Linked DNA regions of Astyanax mexicanus. The protein of the gene in region 3 purifies or fractionates together with the protein of the main gene of each other region. This does not show direct contact. Links are inferred from orthologs where the notes say so. Each region holds a gene or a part of one and is shown on either strand. Other genes may lie near its edges.

Region 1 (7,060 bases), on a different chromosome or scaffold from region 3:
TCAGAAAGAGCTCTTAAACATACCTGAATATTTACCTCCAAGCTTTTGTTGCACATCTCCAACATTTGTCCATGACAGGAAAATCATGCCCACAATTATGTAGTGTGCATTCAGCATTAGCTATAGCAAACAATGCCCACCAAAAGGCCTGTTTTAACTCTCTGCTGACCAAAAAGCGATAACAGCCACCAGAGCCAAAAAGACTCAACCAGACCTCAGTCTGTTCAAAAGTTAAAATTTCCTGTCTCTAAAGATCCTTGCAGAAAACAGGCCTTCAGACTGAGACAATTACTTATGAAATGTTAAGAATTTGTTCAGGTGCACTCAAGCAAGAAGAGCAAAACAATTCAGCCAAAATATGTATAAAAATGTACTCTAGAGAAAACAAGAATTGATGTGGAACATTTTCACTCACAGGTTGCAAATATGAGAAAAAAAGACTGACATTAAAAACATACCTTAAATTTGGGCACGGGAAGCGACAGCTCCGTGTGCCTGGACCATATCCTTCGGGGCCGAGGGTCACGTAACTCCCCCACAGGTGGGAACCCTGCGTCCTAAGGGTTAGAAAATAATTTAATGAATATTAATCGCTTAATAAGGAATCATGTAGTTATAAGTATTCCAAAAATATAGCCTCAATTTTAACATAAGCAGTGCTAATAGTACAAACCAGATTTTGCTGTTATGTACAATATCAATATTTATTTAGTGCTAAAAACTGACAAACACATGCACTTAAAACTGCATGGCCTGAATAAGCATAACGGCATACAGACTACCTATTTGACTACCTATAAAATCTTGATATTAACTTAAGCGGAATTATGGGCTGAAGCAGATATCCAAAATTTGATATGCATGTCAGTGATGATTTACTAACATTTATAAAATGTTGAAATTGAGACTAAATTACCTTGGATTAGCATGACAAAGAAACAAAGCATTTATTTCTACTAGTTTATGTCCAACACTTATGATCCTGTTGATAAAGGCCTTCAGCTGCAGCATATAAATATTAAAACCAGGTGTACCACAGCTAAACTTAAGAGGGCAAGGCTGGTAGATCTCCAAGAATGAAGATTCCCAGTATTGTGTAAAAGCTAAAGGTATATCCGTCTTATTAAATCCAACACAAATGTCCAATAAATAAATTAAAATATTTTAATGCATGGTGAGTCACTTAACACATTTCAACTGAAAGCATTGAAACAGATGTTCACAAAATGACTCAGAGGCCTCAGAATTAGCTTGCTGACAAGTAATACATTACCCTTAAATGCCCTGATTTTAGTTATTTTCTTGCTGACTGCGGCGTCTACCATCACAAACCAACTATATAAAAAAAGCATATACCGGCACACTGAAGTGAATCCCATCGTATCTGTAGATCTTCTGAGCGACCCTGCGAATGGCAGGGTCCTGTACAAGTTTGTAGCTCTTCCATTGCAGACTGAGAGCTCGCTGGGTGTCCGCCCCACTATCTGGATCCATGCTATTACTGCAGAGAAAATAAGAATGGTGAATGAAATTCACAGGACACAACGGCAAAGGCACAAATGGCACAATGGTAGGGATGCACCGATGTGGGAAATCAGACTTATATACTATATATAAATTTGCTGAAGAGGATACACATTTTATTACTTACAGAGAGACTCAACACACTGGTATAACTTTAAAAAACTAAAAAAAAAAAAATACATAAATCAAATCATTTTAAAGAATCTCTGTCAGTGTGTGTCAATTTTATTAGCATGGCCAGCATCACTTAGACCTTTGCTGCCTTACAATAAATACAGAAAGTCAGCAAGTATCGGTTCGAAGTATTGGTCATATTAATATCACTGAATGCTGCTGATTCAAAAAACAGTATCAACCTATACTGACATAACTTCAATATTATCATGCATCCTTACAATATTTAGTTCAATCGGCATTACATAGGTTAGTCTGGTAAACAAACTTGGACATGATGGTTATGTTGGTCATCCAGCTTAAGCTTTCCAAACTCTCTTTTTTGTTCTTAGGGAAAGAATTAGAAATAGTCAACCTAAAGAGTAGGTCAGATGATGACCAAGGGCTGTATGCAATCCTTGCTCAAGCCCTCTCCTGATCATCTTCCCTATGCTATTGTCTCTTGTTGCTGTTGGAGATGAGTCTAAGAGGAGTTAATCAGGTTTTTGTTGTGATGCTGCACGCATAGTTGCACAGTTGCAACAATAGCAGCTAATCATATCCCTCATAAACTGAGTCCTGTTTTTAACAATATTTCAACACTACTTGAAAGAACAGCCGATTTTACATAGCTAACGACTTTTACCGGCAACCTGCACTCATATCCACATGGTTATAACAGTATAAACACTAAAACTGTGGGCTGCCTGCAGAGTAGATACCGCTAGGTTAGGAGAAACGCTATGAACTGTAGCTAATAACCCCAGATTTCAAACTAAACTCGTTTTACCCTCCGTCTCCGCGGCGAATTTATCCGAGCACTAAAACAGAGGCTCCCGTCTGCTAAAGTCTTTTATCCCTCTTTTAGAGCCTCCAACGCAGCTACGAGCGGTCACCTGCACTTAGCTAAAGCGCTAACAAGCTAAAAACGTCCGCCACAATGCCGCTAAACAAGATAGCTAGCATGCTAAGCTAATGTGCTAACTAGCCGCTCGGCAGGCCGCTACAGCGAACCAGACTCCCGGAGACCCGCGGAGCCAAAAAGCGGCGTATTTTCCACTCCGGGGCCGCGCTGCCCGGCCTCGAGAGGTGCTGCCCGCGTTCCGGTGCCGCTTCGAGACATTTTAAAGCGCCATATTCCACCTAAAAGCGCTGTTTTGAGGAAATAATCGGGGTTAAACACACAGCGGCCATCGCGCAACCAACCTGAGAGCCTCGCCTGTCCGCCATTCGTCACAAGAACAACATTCCTTTGATTCGGCTCAAGCACTTTCCGCACAGGATCTGCCTATCTTTGCCGGCTAGCGAACTTAATGAAAGCGCTAAATTATTAAAACATGAATCAAACGATCCGTGTTTTAATTTACAGTAAACAATACAACACGCTTCATCCTCTGACGCAGCTATATATTTTTTTCTATCTGACGAGCTAGCAATGTGTGTCTTAAATTGGCGAATCTGCCGTTTACTTGCTAAAGACGTCACTAGGGAGTCAGGCGGGAGGGTGAAGGTGAAGCCTCGGCCAAGTGCATCAAAACAAACAAAACAAAACAAAACAAATATATATAAACAAATTAAACAGCCATAAAACAAACAAACAAAATAAACATATGTAAAGAAAATATGCAAGTATAAACAAACAAACGACAGATATAAATGAACAAACAAAATAAACAGCCATTTAACAAACAAAATAAACAGCTACAAACAAACCAACAAAAATAAACAAACAGACAAAAAGCTGAAAACAAACAAACAACAATTATAACGTCATGTAAGCTAGATAATTTGTATATAAACTTAAAATGAATTATACACAATTAATTACAATTAATAAAAATTACAATTATATCATTAATATTTATTTTATCTAAATAAAAATGCAAACCAAACATGGAATAAGATTTTGGAGGAAACCAGGCACTGCTCATCACGAGGCCAATACCATCCCTACAGTCAAGCATGGTGGTGGCAGCATCATGCAATGCGATGTTTTTCAGCAGCAGGAACTGGCATACTAGTCAGGAAAGATGAATGCAGCAATGTACAGAGACATCCGGGATGAAAACCAGAACTCCAGAGCGCTCTTGACTGGGGTGGCAGTTCAATTTTCAGCAGGACAACGATCCGAAGCACACAGCCAAGATCTCAAAAGAGTGGCTTCAGGACCACTATATGAATGTCTTGGAGTGGCCCAGCCAGAGCCCAGACTTGAATCTGATTGAACATCTCTGGAGAGATCTGAAAATGGCTGTGCACAGATGTCTCCCATCCAACCTGATGGAGCTTCAGAGGTACTGCAAAGAAGAATGGGCAAAACTGCCTAAAGAGAGGTGTGCCAAGCTTGTGGCATCATATTCAAAAAGACTTGAGGCTGTATTTGCTGCCAAATGTGGTTCTAAAAAGTATTAAGCAAAGGCTGTGAATACTTATGTAAATATGATTTCTTTTTTTATTTTTTTATTTTAATACATTTCCAAAACTCTCAAGAAAACTTTTTTTCACATGGTCGTAATGGGGTATTTTGTGTAGAATTTTGAGGAAAGATTAATGTAATACAATTTGGAATAACGCTGTTACGTAATAAAAAGTGAAGCGCTGTGAATACTTTCCGGATATACTGTAACTCTTGCTCCTCTCTTGCTCTGGCACTTCTAATGAGAGCAAGTTTCATAAGGTTGTTGGTCTAGTTTTTGACATAATATGGATTATACCACTATAATACCACTGTATTCAATTTGTGTAATTTTTTTACTGGTACTGTATAGCTGACTGAAACAATAAAATATTAAAAGTAAAAATTAGCCACAGTAAATGCAATAATGTTAGGAGTCCTTTCATCTTTACATACTATGAAAACATACTCTTCAGAAGATGTATTAATATTAAATAAAACTGTAATGTTTTAACATTTAATGATCTGCCTCGATTTTTATTTATGGAGTGCTCAGCAAAGTAACTGTCTGAAAATAGAGAATTCAGAATATCTTTGTTAGTATTAGAATTTTACAGCAATGCTCCAACATCTAGTAGAAGCCATTTTTGGACAGTATTGACACTGTGTATACAGTATAAAAAGTATTTGCCTCCCTACAGATTTCTTTTGTTTTTGCTTTTTTGTGATACTTTCCTTCAGGATTGTCTAGTAAACAGCAGAATTCCTGGTTCCATCTATTACAGCAAGCTGTCCAGGTCAAAGCAGCAAAGCAGCCCCAGACCATCACACTACCACCACTATGCTTTATGTTCAGAATTATGTTTTTTGTGAAATTAATTGTAAGTTTTACCATGGTTACCATTTTTGACCAGTCACTTTTTTATTATTCCATCATTACCGCTGACGCTTTGTGACCTCCTAGATGAGTTGTCCATGCCCTTTTGGAATAATTTCGGTCAGCCGGCCACTCCTGAAGATTCACCAGAGATTCATATTTTCCCAGTTTGTGAATAATATCTCTCGTTGTGGTTCACTGGAGTCCCAAAACCTTAGAAATTACTTTACAACATTGTCCAGACTGATAAATGATCAATGACTTTGTTTTCTCATCTGTTTTGGAATTTCTTTAGATCACAGCATAATGTGTTGCTTTTAGCTTCATGTTGTCAGAAAGTAAGTTCTTGATTCTACAGGTCTGGTGGTAATCAGTCTTGGTTGTGGTTAGAGAAATTGAACTCAGCTTTACAAAAAGTGTGATTAATCAAGGTTAATTTATGACGGGCTTGTTCAGGGGCTAGATTTAGATTTTTTTTCCCCTTAATAAATTAAATCATAATTAAAAAAGTACTTTTTATATTTACTTAGGTTACTTGTCTGATATTAATGTAAGTATTACAAAAAAAAACAACAACAAAAACAAATCTGTAAATCTGTAATCTTCACACCACTGGCACAACATAAGAGTTCCAGATGCTGCTGCTGGCTCAAGGCCTGGTTGGATATAGGACAAGAAGATGTGCCAAATGTATGATCTCACTTACTGATGATATTTGGCGTTTATTTTTTTTTTTTGGCAACTAGTCTCATCTTTCACTGGTTATTTACTAGGATTTAATAAATACGTTAAGGCTTTGAGTAGAGACTTAGTTTGCAGACAGAAATAATCGTCTAAACAAACGAAATCATCTCTCCATTTAGAGAACTGGAGAGCATCTCAGACATCAGACACAAGCCATTTACGTCTTTATCTGGTTTAATCTTTCCAGGAACACTGTGGAGCAGGATTTATTGGCAACTTCCTTTGAGGATGAAGTGCATAATAAATCACAGTAGCACAGTAAGTCATAGTGAGGTTCTACAGTAACTCTATCTGCAGTACCAGAATATCCCATAACATGTGGTAATGTGTACTAATCAAAATATTTTATAATAAACCGGATTGTTTAGAACAGAGGAGCAAAAGTTTACCCCAGAACATTTAAGTAATATGCTGCTATTAAAACTGACCAGATGATATATTTCGTATTTTATTTACAATAGAACATTCAACTCATTTCAAACATGATGGTATAAACAAAAAGTGTTAAACCAACCAGAATATGTTTTGTATTTTAGAGTCTTTAAAGTAGCATCTCTTACCTAGATGACAGCTTTGTACATCTTGGCTGGATTTTCTTGTGCTGTGGTAGTAGTATTGGTATACAGATATACAACAGTATACAGCTGTGGTAGAGTTGGTATACAGTGAATAGCCCTATTTTAGTAACGTTCTAATCGATATTATGGCACTTTCACATTAAATAATAACGATTACCAAAACTACTAAATGGAAATAGCTTAATAACTGGCTAAATTATCCAATAAAGGAGACTTTTCAGTGTAGTGCATTAAACAGCACGCCGTGTCATTGCAGAGGGTTAAGTTAGTGCCTCCATCTAGTGTTTTATTGTGGAACTACAACAATCAACAACAAAAATAAACAAAGTAGCTCAATACACCTGTTTTCTTTATAAGTTTTTAATTCATGCCCTTCCAATCTTACACGGAAAACGGAAAAAAAGAATCTTTATTTTACTCTCTATTTTGTTTTTGCATCTTGTAATAAGAAAATGTAGTTATTTAACTATTAGATTGGAGAGAAAGACAGGATATTATTATTATTTTCTTTTTCATTTTATCAGGGGAAAAAATAAAAACTTGAAAACCTGAATGAAATTCCATTTCTTTTTCACTATACCAAAGAGGGGAAAAATGGAACTGTAATTCATTTCACCAGCTCAGTGGTGTTAATGTTATGGCTGATCTCATTAAATGTAACACAAGTAGATTTACAACCTATATATTTTATACATAGTGTTCTATTAGGGTCATACACTGAAAAGTTGCATCACTTGTATATAAGTATATAACACTTTAGAAAAAAATTAGGAGACTTCATACTTCAGT
Region 2 (7,954 bases), on a different chromosome or scaffold from region 3:
CAGCATGAACCACGTGAGTAACATTAGCAGGTTGCTAGGTTAGTTATTACTCAAACGAACCCTCCTAACAGAGCAATGGTTTCGCACCAGGGTTCGTTTACACTGAACTAAAGCTGACAAATATAAACACACCCGTATTAGTTACTCGTTTTTTTAAAATCCAAATAATGGGGAAATATAATGCAGGCCACGTTCACGCCTTCGTGTTCCCAGTTTTCCCAGTCACGAGGCAGGAGGGAGCGCCGTATTCCCATGTCCCGTGCTACCTTACATATCAGCTAAAGATTAAAATGTAGCTTAGCTAGGGGCATGTACGCTCCGAAATGTGCTTTTACACGCTTTAGCTAGGGTTTAAAGTAGTAGAACAGCTCGTGTCTACGTTAATACGAGCTGGCTAGGTTAGCTAACCGAGCTAAGCTAGGCTAGGCTAAGTCATCTTCCGTACCCGCTAATACTCCGCAGCCCCTCTGCGCTACAATAACACTGTATCTCATGAACACACATTACTGTGTGCGTTACTACAGGTCAGTAAGTGAATTAGTATTCATTCATGTGCCCTCATTTAACTACAGAATGTATCTAAAGCTAAAGTATTGCTGGGTTGGTGCTTGAGATAAACCAGCTGCCTAAAAAGTGTATTTTTGCTCCTACATGTATTTTTCAATCGGTTTAACAATTCAAACGCGTTAATGACATGCATCACGTTGATAGGACTAGCTGGCTAGTTCTGAACTTATTTTTTAGAACAAATGTATAAAATACCAGTTGTTAAAAATTGTTGTGTCATTTTGGTTGCATCAGAATTTTAACCTTAAAATAAGAACTAGTCATGTGCTCATAATAATAAAAAAAAACGTGATTGAGCTGCTCCCTGAATTTATCCGATTTAAATTTGAAATTGGCATCAATATTCAGAAGGCACAAGCTTTTTGCACACCCATTTTTATACAATTTAAACAACAACTGCCATATTCAAATTATATAAACTTGAAAGTCCACTAAAAATGAGATGCAATGTTTTTGCATGTACGTGAAAAGACTGGCAATTTACATTCTTAAAACTGCATTTAATTTTCATACATTTTTTATTGAATCAAATGTTACCTAAATATTACCTAAAAATATTAGATTTGATTAAATAAAGTGGAATTCTATAATCTGAGCACTTATTTACCCACATGATAAGGTTAATCTTTATTCTAAAGTTCACAGAAAGGCATGACATTGCTTAGGTAAAATAGATTACATCACTAATGTATAAACCCCTGGCTCTAAATAGGTAGTTTTATAGTTATAGTTATATAGGTAGTTATAGGCTATATTGTACCAACAAGTAAAATGTGCCCAGTCATTAGGGTAAACTGCATTGCAAAGTTTTAAATCAATGTGTGAAACAAAGCCTCCCTGTGTTGCAAATGCTAGGTACTTATACCCGGGTGCAATCCAGACATGGGTTAGCTTGTTAATTTTCTGCCTGATATTACACACCCTTAAATCTTAAAGATATAGAGGTTTCATGTTCGATAATACACGTTACTAGGAATTCGAATTGTAATAGGTATTATTTTTTTAAAAATTAAATCTGCAACTTTACAAATATAATGAATAACAAACATAAAATTGTCACTTACCTAAACTTTATTTTTAAATGTGTATTTTCCTGAATACAAATTAGACATTTCATTTCCCCCAAACCTTTCGTTTCGTTATGTTTGTCAAGTTTTTGTTTATTTACAAACCTGCATAATGTGGGTTTGGTGTCTGTTACTGATCTGAAATTATTAAGTGCAGTAGAAAATAAACAGGCAGCTTCTCCAAGTAACCCGTGTGAGATTTCTAAGTTTTCAGAATGTGAATAACCGATTTTACTGCAGAAAAAGCAGTAAAATAGTTTTGTATCACCTAACGTTACACTACAAGGCCCGTAAAGGGGGTAACTAGCTCATCTATGCTAATGGGTAGGACACAGAAAAAAGCACAAAATTCCTTAAACGTGCCAATAAATAGGTAAAAGTAAGGCATTACTGTGCGCATCACGCCCACTTTTAGCTAACCTAGCTAGTTAGCTATCGTTAATATTGGCTAGCTATGTTAGCTAGGTTACATGACAACACTAACGAATCGCTTTGCAGGGTATCTAAATAGCTAAGGTGCTAAACAAACTACATTTAAACAAATTCGTTCAGTAAGTAATACGTAGCTATATTAGTTAGTTACATATCTATATGTCGCTAAATATGACGTTTACAGCGTTTAAAGCAACAAGTCTTTTTTTGTGATTTAAACTGAGAGACATTACGAAATGCAGCCGTGTGAGAAGGCTAGATTAGCGAACGCTAGCCAACGTTAAATCCAATGTTAGCCACGAGGCTAGCCAACAAGTAATTTAGAGGTGTGTAACCCAGGTCCAGTAAGTAAAAATCCAACCCAGCGTTTTGTATCAACTGCCTGGAAAACTCAGCAAAACCGCCCAGGAAACTGGTACAAAGCCTGGGTTGGCTTTTTTCCTTTTTAGACCTGGTTTACCCACCTCTACGCAACAACCTAGCTAAGCTAACGTGCTAGCCAAGTTAGTTAGCTTTCTTAGCTAATAACTTGTCTCCAAAAACATGATTTTATAGCGCATATCATATAAACTATAACAGCAACTACTAGCTGATTATATTCTTTACACTACCGCCACATCGATTTCGCTACGTTCAGGCTGTAAATATGTGTAATCCGCGCAGATAAAGATGATGATAGTGGTTATAATCTATATAGTGGAGGCTTCAGACCGCGACGCCATTACTGCCGCCCGAGCTCGTGCAGCAACAGCTCAGCGGAACCCGAATCTGATCAAATATTAAGTTAAATGCAGTTAAAAGCATCGTTCTAAACCCGCTGCAGCGCATGCATCCAGCCGCGGACCGTCTGCGCTTCCAGGGCCGCACACTCACTTGTGAATCCGGCGTGTCTGCAGCAGCGCGCTCACCGCCACATCTTGTCCTCCATTTTCTTCTTTGCGTGCTGCTGATGGAGGAGCGCCTTTCCCAGCGCTGGTAGAGGACAAACACAGCTACAGCCAGACCCACAGACACACCGCGGAGAAAGAGGAGGAGGAGCGGGGATCAGACCGCCCCCTGCTGCCTGCATACAGGTATTAAAAAAGGTGAAAAATAAAGCTCGACAGCGATATTCTGTTCTGCACGCACACATTTTCTTTTTTTGTGCCTGCGAGTTTCAAAGTTGTGCTTGCGACAAAGAAATTTACACAGGCAAAATGTTAAAACTCACACGTTTTTTTTTCACCTGCTGTTTTTGCGCCCCCGACTTCTGACATCGATTGACGCCATAGAGCAGGGGTGTCCAAACTTTTTTTATTGGGGGTCAGAAGGAGAAATATATTTAAAGTCACGGGCCCCACTCGGTAATAAAACAAATAATGAAATATACCACTTTAAATAATACTTTTTTCCTGATTATTTCATTTACACACCATTACATACCATCTTTATCTTTGACAGTGTTGTGTAAACTAAGATTTTTCAAATTGATGTTTAATTTCATGATGTCTCTTAATATTAAACTCTTTAATTACGGCAATTTTTAGACTCCTTTGCCCCGTTTTTCTGCGCTAGATATGCGCACTCTCTCCGCTTTTAGACTCTTTGCCCCGTTGTTTTGTGCTAGAAATGCACACCCTCTCCGCTTTTAGACTCTTTGCCCCGTTGTTTTGTGCTAGAAATGCACACCCTCTCCGCTTTTAGACTCTTTGCCCCGTTGTTCTGTGCTAGAAATGCACACCCTCTCCGCTTTTAGACTCTTTGCCCCGTTGTTCTGTGCTAGAAATGCGCACTCTCTCCGCTTTTAGACTCTTTTGCCCCGTTACACCTAGCGTTCACACTTTGAATGCCACATTATAAAAACCTGCTTAACAGCGGGCCAACTTTCATTCTATTTCCAAAATACCTCGTGGGGCGCTCCAAAAAAGGAAACGGGCCGCAAATGGCCCGCGGCCATAGTTTGGACACCCCTGCAATAGAGGATTCCTTTAAACATGGGCAGCTTCTGGGTTTTGCACTGCACACAGGGCCTACATGGGGCCCATATGAGAGTAAGGTGGGTCCCAGTAACAACTTAATTTCCAGTCTTCTGTTTACGCAGTTCAGTCACCTTCAGTCGATACAAAACTCAGCTGCTAGGGTCCTTACTCTCACCAAACGCTTCGCCCACATTTTCCCGTCCTCAAGAATCTTCACTGGCTGCATGTAAATATTCTCACATATTAAGTACATTGCTAACTTTTAAACCCCTTTATGGGCTTTCCCTTCATACCTCATTTAACTTATTCTGCCTCACTGTCCTCTGACCATGGGCGTGGTAGTGGTGAGAAAAGTGGACCTGACTACCCAGGGCCCGAGTAGGGAGAGGGGCCCATGAAATCCAGAATTTGTTTTTTTTGATCACGTTCCTTGTGTACTGGCATGGATAGGGGCCCACTGACATAGAGAGTGTACAGGGCCCAGAATTTGCTGCTATGCCCCTGCCTCTGGACCTCTGACTGCCCCTAAAATTAAATTAAAACCTGTAGGTAGTAGATAATGCTGTTTGTTCATCAGCTCCTTAACTTTGGAACTCTTCAATTCAATTCAATTTTATTTATATAGCGCTTTTTACAACAAAGGTTGTCACAAAGCCGCTTTACAGGAAAAACAGGTCCACGGCTCTTATGAGCAGCACCACAGAGATGCCAATTTTATGGTGACACATAAAATTGGCAACTCTTAGACACAATCTTTCCATGGCTCTTCCACTTTCCTCTTTTTCTCTCACTTCACGTCTTAGCTGTGCAATTCATTTATTCATTAGGATATTCTATATCCTCCTTTCTATTGACATTTTAAAGTGTTCTTGGGTTTCTGAAAAGCCCTATATCAATCTAATTCTCAACTCTTAAGTTGTTTTGGTTGAAATGAACATGAACACCACAGAAACTATGTATAAGTATGTAATGTAGAGCTATATGTATACCTCTGTTAAGAGAGCTAGTATACTTACAATTTATAAATTATAATTACTGCAAACAAAACAAACAAAAATCATTATGAAACAAACCCAAAGGAAGTATGTACATTATGTGAGTGACAGTTTTATATCCAGAAAGGATATATTTTTTCACATATCCTGGATAGCAATAAAACATTGAACAAACATTTGTTCATATTACATATTGTGATGTTGTTGATGGTAAAACAACCTTTAAACACACTATATTTGAAATAAAGGTCAGTTTTAAATTTCTGACATTGAATCAATGTTCAATTAAATGTTTTGAATGGTATACACTCTCAATGCTTTTAGGCAAATGTGCTCCCCACATATACTACTACTATAATAATAATACATTACTATCATTATTTTTTTGTAGTATAATATGATTTATATGTCCCTTTTTACAGTACAAGTTATATAAATGGAATGCATACAGTATATGCATATTTATTGTTTAAAGTTTAATACAAACAAAACATATATATTTTTGTATCAGTGTTAAATCAGCAAAAAAAACTATGTGCACAAATAAATACATTTTGATGTCAGAAAAAAATAGTTTTAATACATTAGAGATGGAAAAATCTGGGATAGAAAAATCCCACAGGTTATGTGGGATTTTGGTTGCTCTATTGGTTGTGGCAATACTTCTTAACAAGTGATCATGAAAATTCTAATAATCTGTTAATACATGATTCATTTAAAAATGAATACATCATTTAAAAAGCTTTCTGTATTTACTTGTTCTTTGTCTAAAAATATAGTTTGCAGGTGCATTTCAAGTGTGAAAAGGTGTGATTAATTTGTCATCTGTTATCATTAAACAGTGGAAGTCATGTTGTATTTGCACCAAAGTTGCAAGTAGAAATTTCTAAAGAAGGCTCGAATACAGAAAATATGAACACACATTTAGAACAGCCAGAGAACATTTTGTTAATGTATATTTATTATCACAGATTAAATGCAAAGTCAAATTGTGAGTCAGATCATGATCTACAAATTACATAATTTATAAAATTTCCTAACATCTAACTATTTAATATTACTTATAGAAATATATAGATCACAGACTTCAGAAATAAAAATGGATTACAGAGATTTTTTATGTTTTTAAATTTAAAAAGGAAATCAAAGGGAAATACCTTTTCAAACAAATACTGTATATTGATATACGTCCTAACATGCGATCATTACATTTCTATTATTCTTATAACAGTGAAATCCCCGTTCCCATAATTAAATTGATTCATCTTATAAATGCTTCAGTTCTAAACATTGCTGAGAACGGCAAAATAATATTCCAGAAAATGTCCTTTTTTATCAGTTCCTTCTTCTGCGTCACCTTTTGGTGGTTCCAGTTTCAGTAAACCCTACACTACTCTCTTTATGTTTTCGCTATCTGAATCTTCTGCCAGGAGTATCTGTACCTGTTCTTTTTATTTCTTCTTTAGTAGTTTTGTGTTTTCATGTCAAAAAATTATATATTAAAAAAATATTCTGAATTTAGTATTGACTTTTTAGCATCCTGAGGTGTATCCGTGTCATGCTCCGTTTCAGACTATTCCACCATTGCATCTGCTTCATCATCTTTTTTTTTTTTGATCTTGGTCCAATCTCTGGTCATTTTCCAGGTTGTCAGACATTTCATCTGACTCTACTGTAGAATTCTGTCCTGGCAGAGGACTATCACTTAGATGAGTTGTATCTGTGCCACTCTGTAGTCCAGGCATTGCTTCAGGATGTGCCCCACCATCTACATTTGGTAGTATGTTCTGAGCTGTTTCTGTGTTACCCTCTGTTTCCATTTCATCATCATCATCTTTAGTTGGTGGATCTTTTTCTCGTCTCTGGTCACTCTCCTGGTTGTCAGACATCTCAATATCACCCACAAGAGAAACTTCCTCTGTGTCACCCCCTGAGGATTCCATTGCATTATTTGCATTATTTTCATTTGATGATATGCCCGGTTCCTGAGAATCATCCCCTGTTCTCCCCTTGTGTTCGGTAGCTGTGCTTTTTTGGACACTCTGGTCCTCAGACATTGCAACTGACTCTTTTTCAGAACTCTGTGTATTTTTAGAACCCTCTAAATCATCTGTATTATCTGGTTCTGGTGGTACTATGTCCTGTCTGAGAGCGTCATCCCTTGTTGTCTTTGTGTCATTTTTAGCTGTGGGTTTAGGGACACCGTGGTCGTCTGACATTTGATTTGAAATTTCTGAAGACTTTGCTGCTGACATCCCAGAATCAGTCTGATTTGTTGAATTTGTGCCATCCTGCAATACAGACACACCTTTTGCTTTAGCACCACCAGCTCCATTCTCATCTATTATACTGTTGTTTTCTTTATTTGTGCCGTCAAGATCACTCTTATGATTCTTAGACGTGTCACTGGAATCTTCTGCAGAACGCTGGCTCGACACATCATCATTCCGAGGAGATGTTTCTGTGCCATCTGGCACAACAGGCACTGCTTCTGCTCTAGCTCCATAATGTAATGGTACTATGTCCTTTCCCTGGTCATCTGTATTATTTTCATTATCTGGCCTTAATGGTATGTCTGGTCTCAGAGTGCGTTCATGGACACCGTGGTTCTCAGAAATATTATTTGAATCTTCTGCAGAGCTTGATGCTGACATCGCAGAATCACTCTGATTTGGTGTATGTGTGCTACTGGAAACTTCTGCAGAATGCTGGCTCGACACATCATCGTTCTGAGGAGATGTGTCTGTGCCATCTTGCTCTTCTGTAGACACCATATTATCACTCAGAGGAGCTGTCTCTGTGCCACTATGCATTACAGCTCCTGCTCCTGCTGTATCATTTTCAGTTGATGCCATTACATTTGTGCTTAGAGCACTGTCCTCCATTCTCCTCATGTTTTGTTGAGGGTGTGTATCTGGATTTCTAAAGGCATTCC
Region 3 (7,258 bases):
GTCACCATGACTGTGCAAACATCCCCCTCCGAACCCACAACATATATACACCACTCCAGCTGGAGCGAACGGGCGCGAGGCGACGAAATGTGTCCAGCGCTGAAATAAACAGGGTCTGAACTGCTTGAATCTTTGCACCAGGAGTAAAGCAGCATAAAGTTATCCAAAAGCAGTGTGTAAGACTGGTGGAGGAGAACATGATGCCAAGATGCATGAAAAAAATTGTGATTAAAAACCACCAGGGTTATTCCACCAAATACTGATTTCTGAACTCTTAAATGTTCTTTGTGAATATGAATTGTATGTGTCCAGTGCAGAAATAAACATGGTGATTGTTTGGTAGCTGCTGTGAGCTGATCCGACCTGAAATATGTGGGTCACTCCTTCAGACCTCAGACCACAGATTAGACAATTAAAACAGAAGGAAATGTGACGAAATTAGTGAACAATCTGCTCCATTAATTTCTTAGCAGCGTGCCCAAAAGCTTGGCCATCTCTGCACAGGCCGCCGCCTACATTTAGAAACGAGACTCTCGGCCCTCGGCCCTCAGCGGTTCACGTGCCGCCCAAAATAACCGTGTGAAAGAGCCTCGGCGGTGAAAACAGACGCTGGCACCGTCTCAACAAAGCAGAGGTGTACGCCCGAGCCCGGTCAGAAGCGGCCCTGCACAAAGATAAAGCATGTCAGATGCGATCGCCAAAGACACGGCGCATGACATCACTCCCCCAGAGCCGGCTCTTTCCCAAGCCAACGTCCGAGTGGCGCAGTGGGCAGGAGGGGGTATCCAGGCCGAGCTCCCACACTGAAGCAACATGAACCGGGCACACACTGTCGCACCATCCGGGCCGATGATGTCAACCCTTTCCCATACAGAGCTGACAAGAGGCAAACAGAGCTGCACTCGGGCTCTAGGAGAAAAGAGGGAGAAAACGGGAAGTTAATGAGACTCTCACATCACAGACCCCAGCCTTCAGGGGCTCTTTTGACGTGTCAATCAGCCCAAGAGGCTGGGGCAAGACACGGGGGTGAACTGGTTCGTGGCATGTTTGCTTTCCTTGTATCTGTGCCTATATGTGTGTGTGTATTGTGTGACTGTGTGTGTGTGTGTGTAAAGAGTGTGTGTGTGTGTGTGTGTGTGTGTGTGTGTGTGAAGCTGTGTGAATTGCGATGGGATGGGGAGGGAGAACACAACATTGGTCCCCACTCTCGTTTCCTTCATCTGTGACCATCAGTGTCATCATTCATTAGTGAGCACACTGGTGAATCTCATTTTCACAATTCTTCTGACAACATTTAGGAAATGTAAGTAAGCTGTTGGATGGAGAGAGTGTTTAGTCTGATGGTCATTTTACACTTTATTGATGATTTATACCGAAGAGGCCAGTAAAAGAAAATACATAAGGATGTGAATGTGGGGTCCCTGCATTGAATGTTCAATTACAATTCTAGCCAGACACCACCGGTTATGAGTGCATTTCAAAATGGTCAGTTTATCTGATTTTGCTGTTAATAGGTTTATATTTGAGTAAAATGAACATTGCTCTTTTATTCTACAAACTACAGACAACATTTCTCCCAAATTGCAAATAAAAATATTCTCATTTACAGGCAATTATAATGCAAAAAAAAAAAAAAATTACATCTTGGCATCATGTTCTCCTCCACCAGTCTTACAAACTGCTTTTGGATAATGTTATGCCTTTACTTCTGGTGCAACAATTCAAGCAGTTCAGCTTGATTTGATTTCTTATTATCATAAGAACCAATAATCATTTCATTGGCTGTACAAAATCACTGTTTAATCTACATGTTTTTTTTACAGGTTTTATTATTAGTAAATGATGGTAAATCTAGAACTTTCTATCATTATAAACTCTGAATAAACAATGAAAATGATTATGATAAACAAGTAAGACAGACAGAGACTATGTTTTACAACAATTTAACTGTGTTAAACACTTATAAACTTCTATTATTATTATTATAACAGAGTAGATACCTCATGCACTGCATATTTTTTCATTATCCCTATTTTGTCATAGCTAATACCCTTCAGAGCTAAGTTTCAAATCCTAAATAAGATGGGTTAGATGTGTAATAGAAGTAAAAACACAAGAATATGCAGAGAATACAGGTTTTTGAGCTGTAATTGAGAACTACATGTTTTTTTGTGTGCAGAAATAAAAACAGATCTGGTTCCTTTTCCTCTTTTGCCCTCTGCAGGCCTGCGGCAGTAAGACTCCAGTGTAATGTTTAGTGCTCCAACAGTGTGTGTTCTAATCAGGCTTCAGATACACACACAATTCAGCAGCTATTAATATTCACAGCTCCAGAACTAGACTATTTCAGAAAATCTTTATTTTTATGTAAGATAGTGAATCTTTAATTTTGTTCGTTTTTATTATGAAAAGATGAATCCCCATGGTCTTACCTACAGCATTATTATTGGTGAAAATTATTAAAACTAGCAAATTAGTTTGATGGTATTTCTGTTTAAAATGTTTGCAAGCAGTATATGTGGGTATTCAATTTATTATTTGTATTTCTGAAAATAATATAATCTGTATTGTATTCTGATATATGTTTTTACACACCACTCATGTCATTTTTGTTGTGTTAATTACTTGTGAATTAGTAGTACAAAAAAAAGTACAAAACTGATGTAAACACTGATTCCTTTAATTGTATTATCCATGTGAGTTATTTCGTCTGCCTTACTCTAACTTTAGACTGATGGCAAATCAGCAGAAAAACACTGTGAATAAAATAAATTTGCTTTTACAAAATACAGCTTAAATTTTCAAGCATGAAATGTCAGCATTTAAGATACATCCGCTATTAAACACCAACATAAACTACTAGACTGGATTTTAAATAATATGGAAAACCTTATAGTGGAATTGTATTATTGTAGCAGAAAAATGGCTTTATTTATATGACATAATTATTTTATAAAACATTGCTGTGAAATTACGATGTAAACACGGTAATTTCGATATATTATGAATTCTTAGTTAATTACTAGTATTGGGTCAGAGATCAATTAAGCTTTATTGGGGTTTTGATTTGCTGAATTATTTTCATAATAAAAGCCAGACTTTTATTTTGAAAGGTTTCTTTAAACGTAAACACACCTATCTGTACCTTTATGACTTTGTACAACAGTCTGAATAAAACAATGAGCTTATATGTTTTAGGTGACGTAATCATGTAGACTTGGCATTTTACTGATAAACCATTTACTAAACACACATTAGAAATGTTAAATATTACATAACACCCACTGATCCATTGATCTTTTGGTCATCTGCCAGAGGTCATTAACACTGGAGTTTTTAAAAACTGTGATTAAAAACCAGGATTATTCCACCAAATATTGATTTCTGAACTCTTAAAACTTTATGAATATGAACTTGTTTTCTTTGCATTATTTGAGGTCTGAAAGCTCTGCATCTTTTTTGTTATTTATAAATGCTCTTAATGACAATATTTATATTTAGAATTTGGAAGAATTGTTTTCCATAGTTTATAGAATAAAACAACAATGTTAATTTACACATATATATTATATATATTTACTTATATATTACTTATATACACATAAATAGCCTGGTAATGTAATATTATTATAATACAGTGATAATACCATTTATCCTGCATTCTGATATTTATAGCTACCAGTAGCTCAACCAATGAGAGTGAATGGTTGAATCCAAACATGGTCCCTGTTTTTCACTGTACGTTAATTGCACACTTACATTTATTATAATATTAAAATATCTTTAGACTTATTATATTTCATATTTCACATTTTAGCAAGTTTTTGTAGTAAAACTCGGCTTTTATTATAATAAAAACACCCCGCCCACCCCCCCCCCCCCCCCCCCCTCTGTCTCTGCTAATGGAACAGTCCCGAATTGCCGCAGTGGTTGGCGCATTGATACACAGAAGAAAGCCGTGTATCTCTATCTTTTAGCGGGAGGCTAGTGTTCTTCCGCCGTAGTGAAGATAATACGTTTATAAAGAGCGAAACAACAACTCATACGCTGCATTTTTTGGGATGAATATAACAAATAAAAATTTACTTTAATGTCGCGAACAATATCTCTGATACTTATTCTGAACACACGTTAAATGAGTCAGAGAGGGAGAGGGAGGTCTAATTTTTTATATCAAAAAAGAAGTCCCGCCCATATTCCGCCATTTCGGTAGATGCTTTGTTAGCGGAGTCAGTGCGATGGTGGAAATACTCTTAATTGAGTATTTTTGACTCATTTTGACTAATTCGAACCGAAATATTTGTAGGTTTGCATTTTTGGTACAGTAGCGATAGGGAAGGAGTAACAGACGTTTTAAGCGGAGGGGTAAAGACAGCTAAATACAGTGAAATACGCGCGATTAGCTCGGTTAGCTTGTCTCGTTAGCTGGCGGTTTCTCCTCAGATTCGGGATCCTCTCAGACTCTTTATCAGCATTTTAACAGATTATTTAATCTGGATCCGCGGACTCGCACAGTCTGTGTGTGCGTGTTATTGATTAGCTAACGGCACTATTGTTTTTTTAATCGGTGGTTTCGTGTTTGTTTTGGCACCCTGACGACCCCTCGGCGAGACTCGAAGACGGGAGAGATGGCGAGCTCAGTGGGAAACGTGGCCGACAGCACAGGTAAACGTGACTGCATTCACTACAGGCCTGAGAGGACATTTAACACAGTTTAACAATATTTAACACAGTTACACACCCACAGCACTCAAATACTAATGTAAAACAGCATAATACATCTTTAGATATTTGTTTATCTAACTAATGTCCTCACTGCTTTGTTAAAATAAGATTGTAGGTACAAAACCATCTATAAATGCATTTATAGCGTTAATGTGCTTCACATTTATTCAGCTTAATGTCTGAGTTATGGAGTTTAAAACCTGATAACCAGAATATTTGTTTTTTTTTTTATAAACTTGAAATATTGTAACTGCCTAATTCATACATTGGTTATTTTTTTCTTGTAATTTGCCCAATCCTGCTCCTAAAATAATTTTCAAAACAATCTAAGAAAAAAAAAGAAACAGTTCCCAGTATTTTAGAACAATCAATTCTGAAATTTATAGATACATAAACTCAAATCTAAAATCTAATGCTGTATACTGGACCTTTCAGCACTCACATAGAGCCATATTTCTGAGTTTTAAGTCAAATAGATTTTAATTTAGTTTTGGCCAACAAATTAACCAGATAATAAGCTAATTTAGCTAGCTGATTATAATTAATTTGTTTTGCTAATTTGTTTTTTCTAATATTGTATTTGTTTATATGCCTGCTTAGTCAGTGGGTTGGGTGAAATGGGGTAAACAAAATTGTTGGGTTTGTCGTCCATTGTAGATGTAAGAAAATAATGCTTTTGTTTGGTATTGTAATATTGGCTTTTTAGTTTACTAGTTTACATGGAAAAATTGGTGTCAGAAGTGGTTCATTTTGTGTTGTTTAATCTCTGACCTCTAGAAAGCAGTGTTGTACTGCGTCATTAAATCACACTGTCTTAACAAATAACATAAATTACAACTACTGCAAATTTATTAGTAGGGAAAAATATCAGAAACCTGTAGATTTGCACACAAATAACATAACTCTCTCTTATCTCAGAGACGCATAGTTTGATTGTTGATTGTCGTGATTTGAAATGTGAGACTGTAATATTATACCTGTTATACAGTTTAAATTGTTAATAACCTGTTCTAACTCTTCATTATTTATTGTTTAAATCTGTTGCTACACCCTAATTCACAAGGTTTGTCGAATTACATTTTGCTTAAAAATCTTAGATCATTCAGTCAAATTATCATAATTCAGTTTCTGACAAGAACTAGAGATAAAAAAAGGCTTACAGATTTTAAAAGCAGCTAGCGAAAGATATTTGTCCATTTTAAAAAAGCAATTAAAATGACGCACCCCTTTAGTAAACTGTAACATCTTAGTCATGTATTTACCAAGTAGGCATTTGGAAAAATGTGGAAACTCTAACCGATTAAATCCAACCAAGCAGGAGCCTGTCTTACAGGGTGGGGTGCTGAAGTGCTAAAGAAAGATCTGATTATAAATAGAAAGTCTCAGGAGAGTTTGCTTTGTTTGTTGACTCACCTAATCCCTGAACCGATGTAGATAATGAAAAGAAAAAGAAAAGATAGAAAAAGCTGTAAATAGATAAGCCAGATTGTCATGTACTGTTTATGTTGATTTAAATATATATATGCATATATAGATATCATTAATTTTTCTCAGTTCTGATGGTGAAATAAAGGTGAACAAAAGGTTTGTTTGACTGTGCAGGAATTATTGGCAATTCATCTGAAAGTAAGCATATTTATTAACTTTCATAAACATTGAAAAGACTGTAAGACACTTTAGACATAAAAGCGTTAGACGTGAACACGTGCAGCTGCAATATTTAGCAGTGTTTAACTGTTTATCTCTTTGCATCTCTATTTGTTTTCACACATTTGTTTTTTTTCTTCATTGTTTGAATGCTTGCCCATTGACTGCTTGCACATCACATTTAATCAGTTTACTTAGTACTTAGTAAATGCATCATTTTATTTGGCGTCACCATTTTGTCTATTCATGTTCCTTCTCATACTTCTTTCTCAGCATCTGTGCTTTTCTTTTTTTTTTAATTATTTAAAGGATGAGTTCTGCATTTAAGCAAAGATATTGCCCAAAAATATTTATTTAGTGGTCACATCATGTGATTAATTGTATATAATGTATATAACACCAATTACATCAATAAAATTAGGCTGGACTCATCCTTTTAAATTCCCCTACATTTCCACTTTACTGTTTGTCTCTATGTGAATGAGGTTCTCTCTTTTTTTTTTTTTAGTGCCCTTTTTCACATTGATTGATCGGTTTATCAAAGTACAAGATAAACTTTTTTTCAGTGTTTGTTTTAAGGCCTAAAGCCTTTGTGTTTTTAGTCTGCATGTTAAAGATACATTTACTAAGTCATCATCTTTGTTCTTGTCATTGTTTGATTATTTTGCTTCATTTCCATTTATTCTAACGTGTTGTTTTCCCCCCTCCTCCTTCGGGTTGTGTTGGTGGCCACAGAACCAACAAAACATATGCTTTCCTTCCAAGGGTTGGCCGAGCTTGCACACCGCGAGTATCAGTCCGGCGATTTTGAAGCAGCAGAACGTCACTGTATGCAGCTGTGGAGACAGGAGCCCGACAATACTGGTGTCCTACTGCTGCTCTCTTC

What was found.
Region 1: the proteins of ogt.1 (region 3) and setd1a purify together in Homo sapiens (affinity purification with mass spectrometry; 4 studies listed by BioGRID and IntAct, with this or other methods). This does not show direct contact. The link is inferred for Astyanax mexicanus from reciprocal best matches to the Homo sapiens genes OGT and SETD1A.
Region 2: the proteins of ogt.1 (region 3) and dido1 purify together in Homo sapiens (affinity purification with mass spectrometry; 3 studies listed by BioGRID and IntAct, with this or other methods). This does not show direct contact. The link is inferred for Astyanax mexicanus from reciprocal best matches to the Homo sapiens genes OGT and DIDO1.

The regions. Positions count from the first base shown.
Region 1 is NC_064426.1:19,730,249-19,737,308, forward strand, and holds the start of setd1a (histone-lysine N-methyltransferase SETD1A), read right to left. Parts: upstream 3,104-7,060; 5' UTR 2,884-3,103; intron 1,502-2,883; 5' UTR 1,495-1,501; coding exon 1,357-1,494; intron 558-1,356; coding exon 459-557; intron 1-458. UniProt on the Homo sapiens protein: Histone methyltransferase that catalyzes methyl group transfer from S-adenosyl-L-methionine to the epsilon-amino group of 'Lys-4' of histone H3 (H3K4) via a non-processive mechanism.
Region 2 is NC_064431.1:22,959,680-22,967,633, forward strand, and holds the start of dido1 (death-inducer obliterator 1), read right to left. Parts: upstream 3,078-7,954; 5' UTR 2,940-3,077; intron 1-2,939. Other genes in the region: opioid growth factor receptor-like, read right to left, coding at 6,618-7,954. UniProt on the Homo sapiens protein: Putative transcription factor, weakly pro-apoptotic when overexpressed. Tumor suppressor. Required for early embryonic stem cell development.
Region 3 is NC_064417.1:383,981-391,238, forward strand, and holds the start of ogt.1 (UDP-N-acetylglucosamine--peptide N-acetylglucosaminyltransferase 110 kDa subunit), read left to right. Parts: upstream 1-4,191; 5' UTR 4,192-4,628; coding exon 4,629-4,665; intron 4,666-7,107; coding exon 7,108-7,258. UniProt on the Homo sapiens protein: Catalyzes the transfer of a single N-acetylglucosamine from UDP-GlcNAc to a serine or threonine residue in cytoplasmic and nuclear proteins resulting in their modification with a beta-linked N-acetylglucosamine (O-GlcNAc).